Caenorhabditis elegans: one gene and its partner. The protein of the gene in region 1 interacts with the protein of each later gene in a pairwise test. Each region holds a gene or a part of one and is shown in the gene's direction. Other genes may lie near its edges.

Evidence for each region. Proteins that work in one complex are often made in the same cells at the same time.
Region 2: the proteins of knl-3 (region 1) and nova-1 interact in a two-hybrid assay, tested with the Caenorhabditis elegans proteins (one large-scale study listed by BioGRID).

Annotation. Positions count from the first base shown.
Region 1 is NC_003283.11:1,866,841-1,871,822, forward strand, and holds knl-3 (Kinetochore NuLl), read left to right. Parts: upstream 1-2,372; 5' UTR 2,373-2,373; coding exon 2,374-2,940; intron 2,941-2,993; coding exon 2,994-3,284; intron 3,285-3,347; coding exon 3,348-3,521; 3' UTR 3,522-3,718; downstream 3,719-4,982. Other genes in the region: T10B5.3 (Small-subunit processome Utp12 domain-containing protein), read right to left, coding at 61-260, 961-1,199, 1,249-1,476, 1,528-1,721; T10B5.4 (aralkylamine N-acetyltransferase), read right to left, coding at 3,736-3,894, 4,176-4,290, 4,351-4,589, 4,660-4,860.
Region 2 is NC_003283.11:18,078,141-18,084,115, reverse strand, and holds the start of nova-1 (K Homology domain-containing protein), read left to right. Parts: upstream 1-2,209; 5' UTR 2,210-2,285; coding exon 2,286-2,292; intron 2,293-4,075; exon of another isoform or gene 4,076-4,160; intron 4,161-5,859; exon of another isoform or gene 5,860-5,947; intron 5,948-5,975. Other genes in the region: fbxa-106 (F-box domain-containing protein), read left to right, coding at 645-732, 782-1,424, 1,470-1,658.

The DNA of each region.
Region 1 (4,982 bases):
AATCCGGAATTCCACCAAATCTTGAATCCGTGGTGTCTTATTCAGTGGAAAAAATCGAACCTCAGATCCAGATCCGCCACTTTCGGCACTATCTGCGTCCATTTCACTATCATCCGAATCATTATCGTCCTCGTCATCGTCATCCTGATTCTCTTCTTCATCCTCTTTCAGCTCATTATCCTCCCACCAATCGTCTTCGCTGCTCTCACCGTCATCATCCGAGCCAATTGTGTCAAAATCTTCAGAATCCGAATCAAGATCTGGAAATTGGGGAAAAATAGGTTTAAATTCTTCATAAGACCTCGGCCATTTTGAAAATTAAATTTTTTTCGGAAAATTCTACAAAAGATATATAAATTCTCTTGGTTTAACTGAAAATATCATCTTTTGTAGCTGAAAATGCCTAAAAACTGTCCGAAAGTTGCCGAAAAATCGGTCATCGGCAACTTTCAGGCAATTTTTCTGCTCTTTTTCCAATTTTTCCACTAAAAATAATGTTATTTTCAGTAAAAACAAGTGAATTTCTATGTTTTGAGACTGATTTTATTGAAAAATTTGGGAAGTACAGGCTTTTTGTAGAATTTTCCGAAAATAATTGAGAACAGGAATATTCACCTTATTATATACTAAAAACCGCGGAAAAATCTGATTTTTAATGTTTTTTTATAAAAAACCTGCAAAAATTCATTTTCCGAGCTTATCTACAAAAAATTCTATTTTGCCGCATTCTCTCGGTTTATATGAAAATAACACACTTTTCAGCAGAAATATTGGAGAAAATGCCCAAAAATTGCCTGAAAGTTGCATTTTTCTGCGTTTTTTTCCACTTTTTCCACTAAAAACAATGCTATTTTCAGATAAACCAAGTGAATTTTCACTGAAAAACGTGGGAAACACAGGCTTTTCCGCTGGAAAATATCTTGCGCGTAATTTTCCGCGAAAATCCGCTCAAAATATTACCATTATTGAACACAACCAACGGCTGCTGCACAATAACCACATTATTAGTTCGTCTCTTGATAAGATCAGCGATTGTGGATATTTTTCCGTGAAGAGCCAACAAATCTCGATGATGACCGACTCTTGAGCGCAGCCAGCCGATTAAACCGCCAATTTCCTTCTCCAAATTCGGAAGTGAGCTGAGATAAGGCATGTGAATTGAGAAGGCGATTTGAGCCCATCGGATGGTTGGACGAATGCTGGAAAATCAATAAATTAGGAGGAATTAGTACTAAAAATTCGATTTACTCTGCAGCATTCCTCGTTTTCAAGCGAGATTCGATGATTTTGAGCAATGGCAAGACCTGCATCGGCTGGAGATCACGGAGGGTAGCGTGAATAATTTCAGAATTCAAATTTCTAATGACTGAGTCGATTTTTGCACTATCATTAGCCATTATTCCCTGAGTAAGCAGAACACATTGTGATCCACCGCCGCTACCACTCGTTTTTCCCTTTTTGAGTTCAGAAGTTGGCCTGAAAATCGGAAATAATTGAATATTATCGAAAATCCACCAATAATCCTACGTGGCTGGCTCTTTTTCACGATCTCCGAGCGGTTTGTTGGCCTCTTTCTCCGATTCACTCAGTTTTTTCCCATTTCGAAGCGAACCGTTAATATGCGAATGCCCATTTACTACAGGGGACTCGATTTTCTCAGGAGTTGCAGGAGATGTAACTGCCGCCACATTTGATTTCCTGGCTTTCCGTTCTCGAGCCATTTTCTGGAAACTGCAAAAAAATATTGGAAAATTCGATTTTAAGGCCATTTTACGCACAATAATCGCAAAAAAGATACATTTCACGGTAAAAAAGCTTTAAAAACTAATAAGAACAATAAAAAATCAATAAAATACGCCTGAAAACCATGAAAAACTCTTCAAAAACGCCTGGAAATAAGGAAAATAAAGATTAAAAATTTTGCACCGCAAACGCGCAAGCGACGAGAAATGCGTCAGTGACGGGGTTGGCGCGGCAAATTAACCCCGCGAATTTTGAACGTGACCCCTTCATTCGGTGGATTTTGGGCCCAAAATTTGCGATTTTCTCTTATTTCCATTTCATTTGCGGCAGTTTTTTCCGGAAAATACACGAAACTGGCTTATTTCAACATGAAAATCCAACTTTTTTAAGCGAAAATTGTCTAAAATTGAAATAAAAATGCAGAAAACGGGTTTGTCTATCTGAAAATAATGTTTTACGGCATTTTTCGGCAAACTGCAAGCTTTTTAACAAAAATGAGTTTTATTTTCAAATAGAAAAACCCGTTTTCTATCAATTTTAGATCAAAAAAGTTGGATTTTCATATTAAAATAAGCCATTTCTTTGTTTTCAACGTTATTTTCTCATTTTTAATCACTAATTCATTTCAGAATGTCTCAAAAATCAAACGACACCACATTCTCGGTCAGAGCCGCGCTCTTCGCATCACCCGTCGGCTCATCATCAGCAGTTCCAAAGAAGAAAGTGGCTCGAGAGGTGCCACGTGCAGGGCCGCCAGTTTTTGCCCTCGAGCACGATGTTTCGGAAGTCACCGACAGAAATAAAGACGGCACCTTTCTGGCTGCAGACGCGTGCGCTAGTGGCCCTACTTTGAAGGTTCCAGACGAAACACAAGGTTGCCCAGAAACTTTCAGTGTTTCGGAACACGAAGATGACGACGACGTTGAGCCGATGGAAGTTGATGGAACCATCGTTCCGTCGCCCCAGCGAGCAACGCCGACACGTGGCGTAACTCCTTGCGAAAAATCGACGACTCCACGCAGAAGATCCTCGAGAAAGTCGATGCCAACGCCTGGGAAGCGTCTGTTCTTCACCAGCAAAGACACTACGAACGAGGATCGCAAGGCTGATGACTCGACGCAACTGGAGCTTCTGATGGCAAAGATTCCGCAGGAGATGTCGGGTTACATGAAAAAGTTGGCCACCGACATCAAAGAGGTAGTATTATCGATTTTTAACTTTACATTTAAATCTAAAATTTTCATTTTCAGATGAGCCAATACGATGCACAGCTGGCGCGGAATATCGACGACATGGAAGCGGTTTTCAAATCCCGCGAAACTAAGCTCAAGTCAGCTATTGAAATCGCCAAGGACAGCTTCATCTCGTCCGCTCTGCCTCTTCGCCTCGAGACCCTGGACATGACTCTGCGTAAAGAAGAATCGCCAAATGATATCGTTGCGAGACTTCACGGAAGTTTTCTCGACAAAACCCAGGATGCCGGAAACGTGAATACTGCACAAAAGGAGAACCAGCAGCTGGAGGATGAGCGCGGGATGCTGGTGAGAGTTTCAAATTATTTAAATATGATTTTTAAAAATAAAAATACAATATTATATTTCCAGGAAGAAAAGCTGGAGAGTCTCAACAAGATCAAGAGAGAGAAGGATGAATTTCTGGCGAAAATGCGAAAAGAGGAAGAGGAAGCGCTCGCTCGCCGGGAGGAAATCAAGCAGGGCTTCGAGCGAATCGATGCTCTAATGAGCAAAATCAAGCCGATTCCAATTTTTGAATTCTGATTTCTGATTTCTCACGCTCTGTATAATATTCTATTTCTGACACAATTGATTTCATAAATACATGTATAATATTTTATTCATAGCCTAGGTCTTGCTTATTAAGTGTCAATTTCATTACGTGTACTTTAATTATTGGTTTTGAGTATCTGAAGTTGAGATCCTAGCTGCTTTGGTCCTTTATAAATATATGTTTCTTTAATTTGAGTTGCTATCGCTATCGAAGGTCGTCCTCTTCCTCCTCATTTGCATGTTTTTCTAGCTTCTTCCCCATTAGTTTCCCGCTGACTCCACCGTCGACGAGGTTCTCGAAAACCACGTCGCCATTGTTTCGAAAACAGGAAAATGGCATTTCGCGAAGTGTTGTGAGACCACACTGGAATTTTATTAGTTTTTGAAGCTTTTAGATCGAAAATTCATCGAGGCACCACGGATTCAAGTGCCAACGCAAAGAAACGGGCCAGATCCGATATCCCACCGGTTCTAGATTTCGTGGTGCCTCAATTGGTCTTGCCACGTGGTCAAAGGTCTCGCCACGCTTCCGATGTGGTGTGTGTGCCTTTAAACACGGGTACTGTATTTTTTATAGGTTTTCTGACTTTTCGCTCTATTTTTTTCGTAAAAAGCGGAAATTTTATTGAATAAGAAACTACTATCCTTGCTGAAAATATTCTGAGAAGCCACAGCAGTTGCAACGGTTGCCACGTACTCGCAATCTTCCTTCACAGCATTTTCCAGACTCTTCTCGACGAGCTGTCTTCCGATTCCCTTCCTAAATTGAGCACAATTCCCTAGGAGAACAAGAAAAAAAAAGAAGAAAATTGCTTCCTACCCTTGACAAGCCTTCGACACGCACAGCACATCGATTTTGAAGACTTTTTTCGGATTTCCAGTCAAAAACGACAAGTCTTGCTCCAAAACCTGCACGAATGCCACCAACTTGTTGGCATTTTCGTGTTTGTACTGGCCATTTGTGATTTCTGCGTTAAAATCCCAGTGTGGATTGAATGGGGTCGATTCGGAAACAAAAGAGCATTCTTTGACGGCATTCAGGCAAACTGCCACGATTTCCTGAACACTTTTTTTTCTAGAATTTGCGGGAAGCTAGATTAAATCTGAAAAACAAAAAACAAAAACCTACTTCCCCATCAAAAACCAGAATTGAACTTTTCTCATCTTCCAACCCGCTCATCGTCAAATCAACGAAAAACTCGGCGACATCTTCTTCCGAGCAGCTCAATGAAGTTGTGATGGGCTCCATTACTCTAAAATGCTCCACCAGGAACTTGTGAACTTGGTCCTTGTGCTCCAGGAGCCCAGTTTGGAATGTGAGCTCCGGCATTTGCAGAAAAAAGCGAATAAAAATAAAATAAAAGAAAGCAAAAGTGAAAGACTATTCCTCGAGAGCTCTGTGAGCCCTCACTTTTTCTCTGAACCTCCGAGACAACACGCGTTACATTTGCA
Region 2 (5,975 bases), about 16 Mb from region 1:
CCTTTTTCATATGTCACTTTTTGTTTTTCCCGTACGGGATCCCGTCTTTACAGTCGGCAACCGACTGAAACCGAGGCCACCAATGAATAACTCAGCTTGTGAACCCTGCCGGGAAAGTCTCATCAGTTTTCCATCAGTGTACGACAAAAAATATACCGTATTTCCTCTATTAGTCTTGCAGCTTCTATTAGTCTTGCACCCCTATTAGTATTGCACCCCTACGGACCAATCGAAAATCAGTCATGCGGACTCTATTAGTCTTGCACCCCTACGGGTCAATTGAAAATTAGTCTTGCATTCAAGACTAATAGAGGAAATACGGTAATTGGGTACGATAGGAATACGGTAGGTTTATAAGTTATGTAAGTTTCTACAAATGTAACTACTTCAGTTTCTCTGTACCAAACTTTGAAGAATTTTTTATTACTTTAAAGATCACTGAAATAGTGAGCCGTTGTCTACGAGATCAAATATGTCCGAAAATTACCATTTGGTATCGGTCCTAACAAATCAGTATTTATACCAAAGTTGTTTCTTCGTCAATATTTTGAATTTAATTTAAAAACACATATATTATTCAATTTTCAATCTCACGTGAGAGAGTGTGAGAGAAAAAGAGGAATTTTGAAATAAATGAAATTGAGAGAGGCCGTGCTCCAAGGCTCCATCGATGTCGAATTTGCCATTGGACGTCATTCATAAAATTGTGGAAAAGGTTGAACCAATCGAACGGTATAATCAGAACTAGTTTTTGGAGGATTAATTAAATTGAAAATTTCAGGCTTTCTGTCCGTAAAGTCTGCCGCAACTTTCGTGCAATCGTCGATAATAAGGATCCTGGAATCAAGCGCGTTGTACTTAACATCCATCACTCTCAATTCCAGATGTGGCTGCTTGACGCAAAATCTACTGTAATTCACTATGATTTCAGTCATTCGCATTGCACAGTAAACTACAATGATCGGAATGAGCGCTTTAAAGGAGTGAACGGCTTGAAAATGGCTGAGACAGACTTGTCAGTGGTGATGAAGAACTCGAAACTTCAATTGGAAGTCCTTGAATTCCAAGGATATGATCGTATTCAAAAGAAGGAAACATTTATGAATTGGTTCAAAGAAATGTCCGATTCAAAAAACCTCTACAAGGTAAAAAGAATCGACTTTTCCATTAATCTTCCAACTTTTGCCGCAACAATTTTTCCGCTTCTTCAACCAGGATTTCTAGAAGAAATTTGCATTTACTGCAGCGGGAATCCAGATTACGTCGATCAATTATTTGAAATGGAGCAATGGAAAAGAGCCAAGTCGATTTTTATTGATTCATATGGAGAGAAGCATTTCCCAATTGAAAATCTCTTCCATCTTACCCACTTCTTCATTGATACGGCGTATCTTTCTGTCGCTGATGCTGTTAAAATCAGAGATGTTAGTTTTTTAATGTTCCTTCAAAAAAATTGTCATTTTTTCCAGATTCTCTTGAAATCGACTGTTTTTGAGTCTGGAATCATCACTTCTAGAAATATCTTCAGCGTTGGAGTTGTGCGAGTTTTCAATCCAAATTTCATTGCTAGAAGACCTTTTCGCGTTGACTATGACAATGGCTCTCACTTCAGCCTCTTATACGATCATATTTCTATCAAAATCGAAAAGAAGAAATAAATTAAACTGTTGTTCACTCGTGTGGTTCTCATTAAAATAAACTGTTTTGTTGAAATCTGTTTTTTTTCTTGTTAAATTACAATTTTGAGACATTTTTGTATTAAATTGCAAACCTTGTTGAAAAGTGGAGATTTTCCCGAAAATTTGCTGGAAATTGTGAGAAAAACTATAAGTGAAAAATTGAAATTTATTAGATTTTTTAACTAATTTGCATGGAAATGCATGGATAACCGGTGCAAATTATACAAAACCTCAAGTATTCACGATTTTCTTTTTTTGAGAAAATGATTTTTTGTTTCAATATAGATGAAAAATTGAATTTCAACCCGGAATATTGAGAGTTTCGACGATTTTCTCTCAAGTTTCACGATTTCTAACCAATTTTTGACTCTAAAATTCAGGAAATTTCATTAAAAATCAATAATTTTGAAAACATTTTAAATTAACTTCAATTTAAAAACCGGACTACGGTACACAACTCCGCAAACACCGCACGGCGTGTTCTGTCTACCGTAGTACGGCGCAATAAAAAAAAATAAATTTTTTTCCAATTTTCGAACTTTTCACCCAATTTTCGGCGCTTTTTTGCTGATTTTCGACGAAAAACTGAAGGAATTAACAAGCGCAATGGAAGGTTCGTGCTTTTTCAACTTGAAAAAGGTAAAATTCGAAAAAAAAAATACCTCTTAGGATTCAATTTTTCCATTAATTCCGCAATTTTTCCATCCTAAATTGATATTTCTCACAGAATTGTTTGATTTGTCTTATTTTCCGGCAAAATAATGTTTGAATTCGATAAAAATCGGAAAAATTCGGCTGAAAATGGTGGAATTTACGCCAAAATCCAGATTTTTCGACTTTTCAGCAAGTTTTTGGGTAAAACTACGCCGTTTTGACGAAAATTGCAAGAAAATTGACTTAAAATTTGACTGTATAATTTATGAGTTAAAATTTAAATTCTACTGGTTTTCCGGTAAAATTGCAGTTTTTATTGTTACAAAAGTTCTAAAAAACTGAATTTTGCCTTAAAAAACCCGTTTTTCTGGAATTTTTTGCTGAAAAAATTGAAAAATTGCTTTAAATCTCGTTTTTAAATCAATTTTTCTGTCAAAATCTAACGAAATCTCTCAAATTTTCGATTGGTCTGCTAGCGTTTTTTGTAGTTTGTAGTCTAGCAGATTAAATTTCTGAGATTGGGTCTGCCAGACTACAAATTACAAAATGTATTTAGCAGACCCATCACTTTTTCGACTAAATTTTGCGTTTTCAGGTGAAATTAAGCAGATTTAAAGGAAAAAACTCAGTTTTTCACAGAAAACCGACAAAAAATATGAATTTTTCGTATTTTCAGAGTTTTTTCGGCGAAAATTGTGATTTTATGCATAATTCTCTGTGAAAATTGATTTTTTAAGTCAATTTTCGTGAATTTTCACATTAAAATGTCGAGAAAATGCACATTTTGAGATATTTCCCGCAAAAAAATCAGGAAAAAATGCTCAAAATTGGCGATTTTTACCAAGTTTTATGGTCTGCCAGACTACAAACTACACAAAATGTATTTAGCAGACCCAAAAAAAAACATTTTTCGCGAATTTTTTTGATTTTTTTCTTGCATTTTTGATCAATTAGCATTAAAATTCACTAATTTTCCTCCCCAATTCCAGAAAAACCGGTTTTTCTGGAATTTTTTGCTGAAAAAATTAAAAAATTACTTTAAATCTCGTTTTTAAATCAATTTTTCTGTCAAAATCTAACGAAATCTCTCAAATTTTCGATTGGTCTGCTAGCGTTTTTTGTAGTTTGTAGTCTAGCAGACCCGAGTGGGTCTGCTAGACTACAAACTACAAAACGTATTTGGCAGACCCATAGTTTTTTCGACTAAATGTTGCGTTTTCATGTGAAAATACGCAGATTTAGACGGAAAAAACTCGGTTTCCCATAGAAAAATATGAATTTTTCGTTTTCTTAGACGGTTTTTTGGCGAAAATTGTGATTTTACTCATATTTCTCTGTAAAAATCGATTTTTGAGTCAATTTTCGTGAATTTTCATATTCAAATTGCGAGAAAATTCAAAATTTGAATTTTTCCAGCGAAAAAATCAGGAAAACTGCCCAAAATCACAGCGAAATTGACGATTTTTACCTAGTTTTATGGTCTGCCAGACTACAAACTACACAAAATGTATTTAGCAGACCCAAAAAAAAAATTTTCGCGAATTTTTTTTATTTTTTCTTGTATTTTTGACCAATTAGCATTAAAATTCACTAATTTTCCTCCCCAATTCCAGAAAAGCCGGTTTTTCTGGAATTTTTTGAAAAAAATTTGAAAAATTGCTTTAAACCTCGTTTTTAAATCATTTTCCTCTCAAAATCTGACGAAAATCTCTCAATTTTTCGATTGGTATGCTAGCGTTTTTTGTAGTTTGTAGTCTAGCAGACCAAATTTCTGAGAGTAGGTCTGCTAGACTACAAACTACAAAATGTATTTAGCAGACCCATATTTTTTTCGACGAAATTTTGCGTTTTAGGTGAATATAAGCAGATTTAGACGGAAAAAACTCGGTTTCCCATAGAAAAATATGCATTTTTTTTAAACGGTTTTTTGGCGAAAAATTGTGATTTTATGCGTAATTCTGTGTGAAAATTGATTTTTTAAGGCAATAATCGTTAATTTTTCCTGAAAAATTCCGCGAAAATGCAAGATTTGAATTTTTTTCCCGCGAAAAAATCAGAAATCTGCTCAAAATAACAGCAAAATTGACGATTTTTACCAAGTTTTATGGTCTGCCAGACTACAAACTACAAAAATTGTATTTAGCAGACCCAAAATCCATTTTTTTTTCGCGAATTTTTGGATTTTTTCATGCATTTTTTATTAATCAGCATTAAAATTCGCTAATTTTCTCCCACATTTAGGAAAAAATCGATTTTTTTTTGCCAAATTGCCCCGCTCTCGCCGTTCTTTTTGGCCATCTGCTCTCCGAATAACACTTGGCATGCTGCCAAGTGTCCCACCAACAAATCCCATCGATTTTCGATGTTGGCGAGGGACAAAAAGTGACGACGATTAGAGAGCATTGAGAGCTGAGAGAGACGAGAGAAAACATGGAACCTCTCGTTGTCTGCCGTCTCTTCATCTCATCATTGTGTCCGTCAACTGACTCATTTCTTCGTATTTACGCGCTCTTTTTTCGAAGGAGGACGCGTTCCGTTTTTTTTTTTGGTTTCGTACAAATTTTTGGTTTTTTACGCGATTTTCTCGAAATTGCGTGTGAAAATTTGCAAAAAATTCGATTTTTCGTTTCAAAATCGAGCTTTCCTTCTAAATTATCAAATATAATCGTAAAATCGGTTTTTCTCTACGATTTTTCTTCAAAAGCTGAATTTTTTGCTGAAAAGTGGGTTGAAAATCACGAAAATTGCAAATTTTAACGCTGATCAATAAAAAATGCAAGAAAAATGGATTCTGGGTCTGCTAAATACATTTTGTGTAGTATGTAGTCTGGCAGACCATAAAACTTGGTAAAAATCGCCAGTTTTGCTGTAATTTTGAGCAGTTTTCCTGATGATTTTTTCGCGGGAATAATGCAAACATTTGCATTTTCTCGGAATTTTTAAGGAAAAATGCACGAAAATTGACTCACAAAATCAATTTTCACAGAGAATTTTGCATAAAATCACAATTTTCGCCAAAATACCATCTGAAAATCCGAAAGTTTACACATGTTTAGTTTTTTACACGATTTTCTCGGAGTTTTGTGCGAAAATTTGCAAAAAATACGAATTTTTCGTTCAAAAATCGAGCTTTCCTTCTAAATTATCAAATATAATCGTAAAATCGGTTTTTCTCTACGGTTTTCCTTTAAAAACTGCAAGTTTTGCTGAAAAATCCGTTGAAAACTGCGAAATTTAACTCTAGAGCGTGTAGTTTGTAGTCTAGCAGACCCAAATCGAGCGCATGGGTCTGCCAGACTACAAACTACATTTTCAATCGATTTTTCCGGATTTTTAGGTTTTAAATGTGATTTTCTCGGTGTTTCTTGTTGAAATTCGTGAATTTTCGGGAAAATTTCCTGAAAAGTCAGAATTTTTGCCGGGAAAAGCGAGTGTGCACTCTAAAAATTCAATTAAAACTCAGATTCCCCAATTTTCGCAAAAAAGGAGTTTTTTCTTTAGAGAAACTGCAAATTCCCCTCAAAATCCCTTCAAAAGTACGAAAATTAGCTCTACAGCGTGTAGTTTGTAGTCTAGCAGACCCAAATCGAGCGCATGGGTCTGCCAGACTACAAACTACACATAAAACTAGTTAAATAAAAA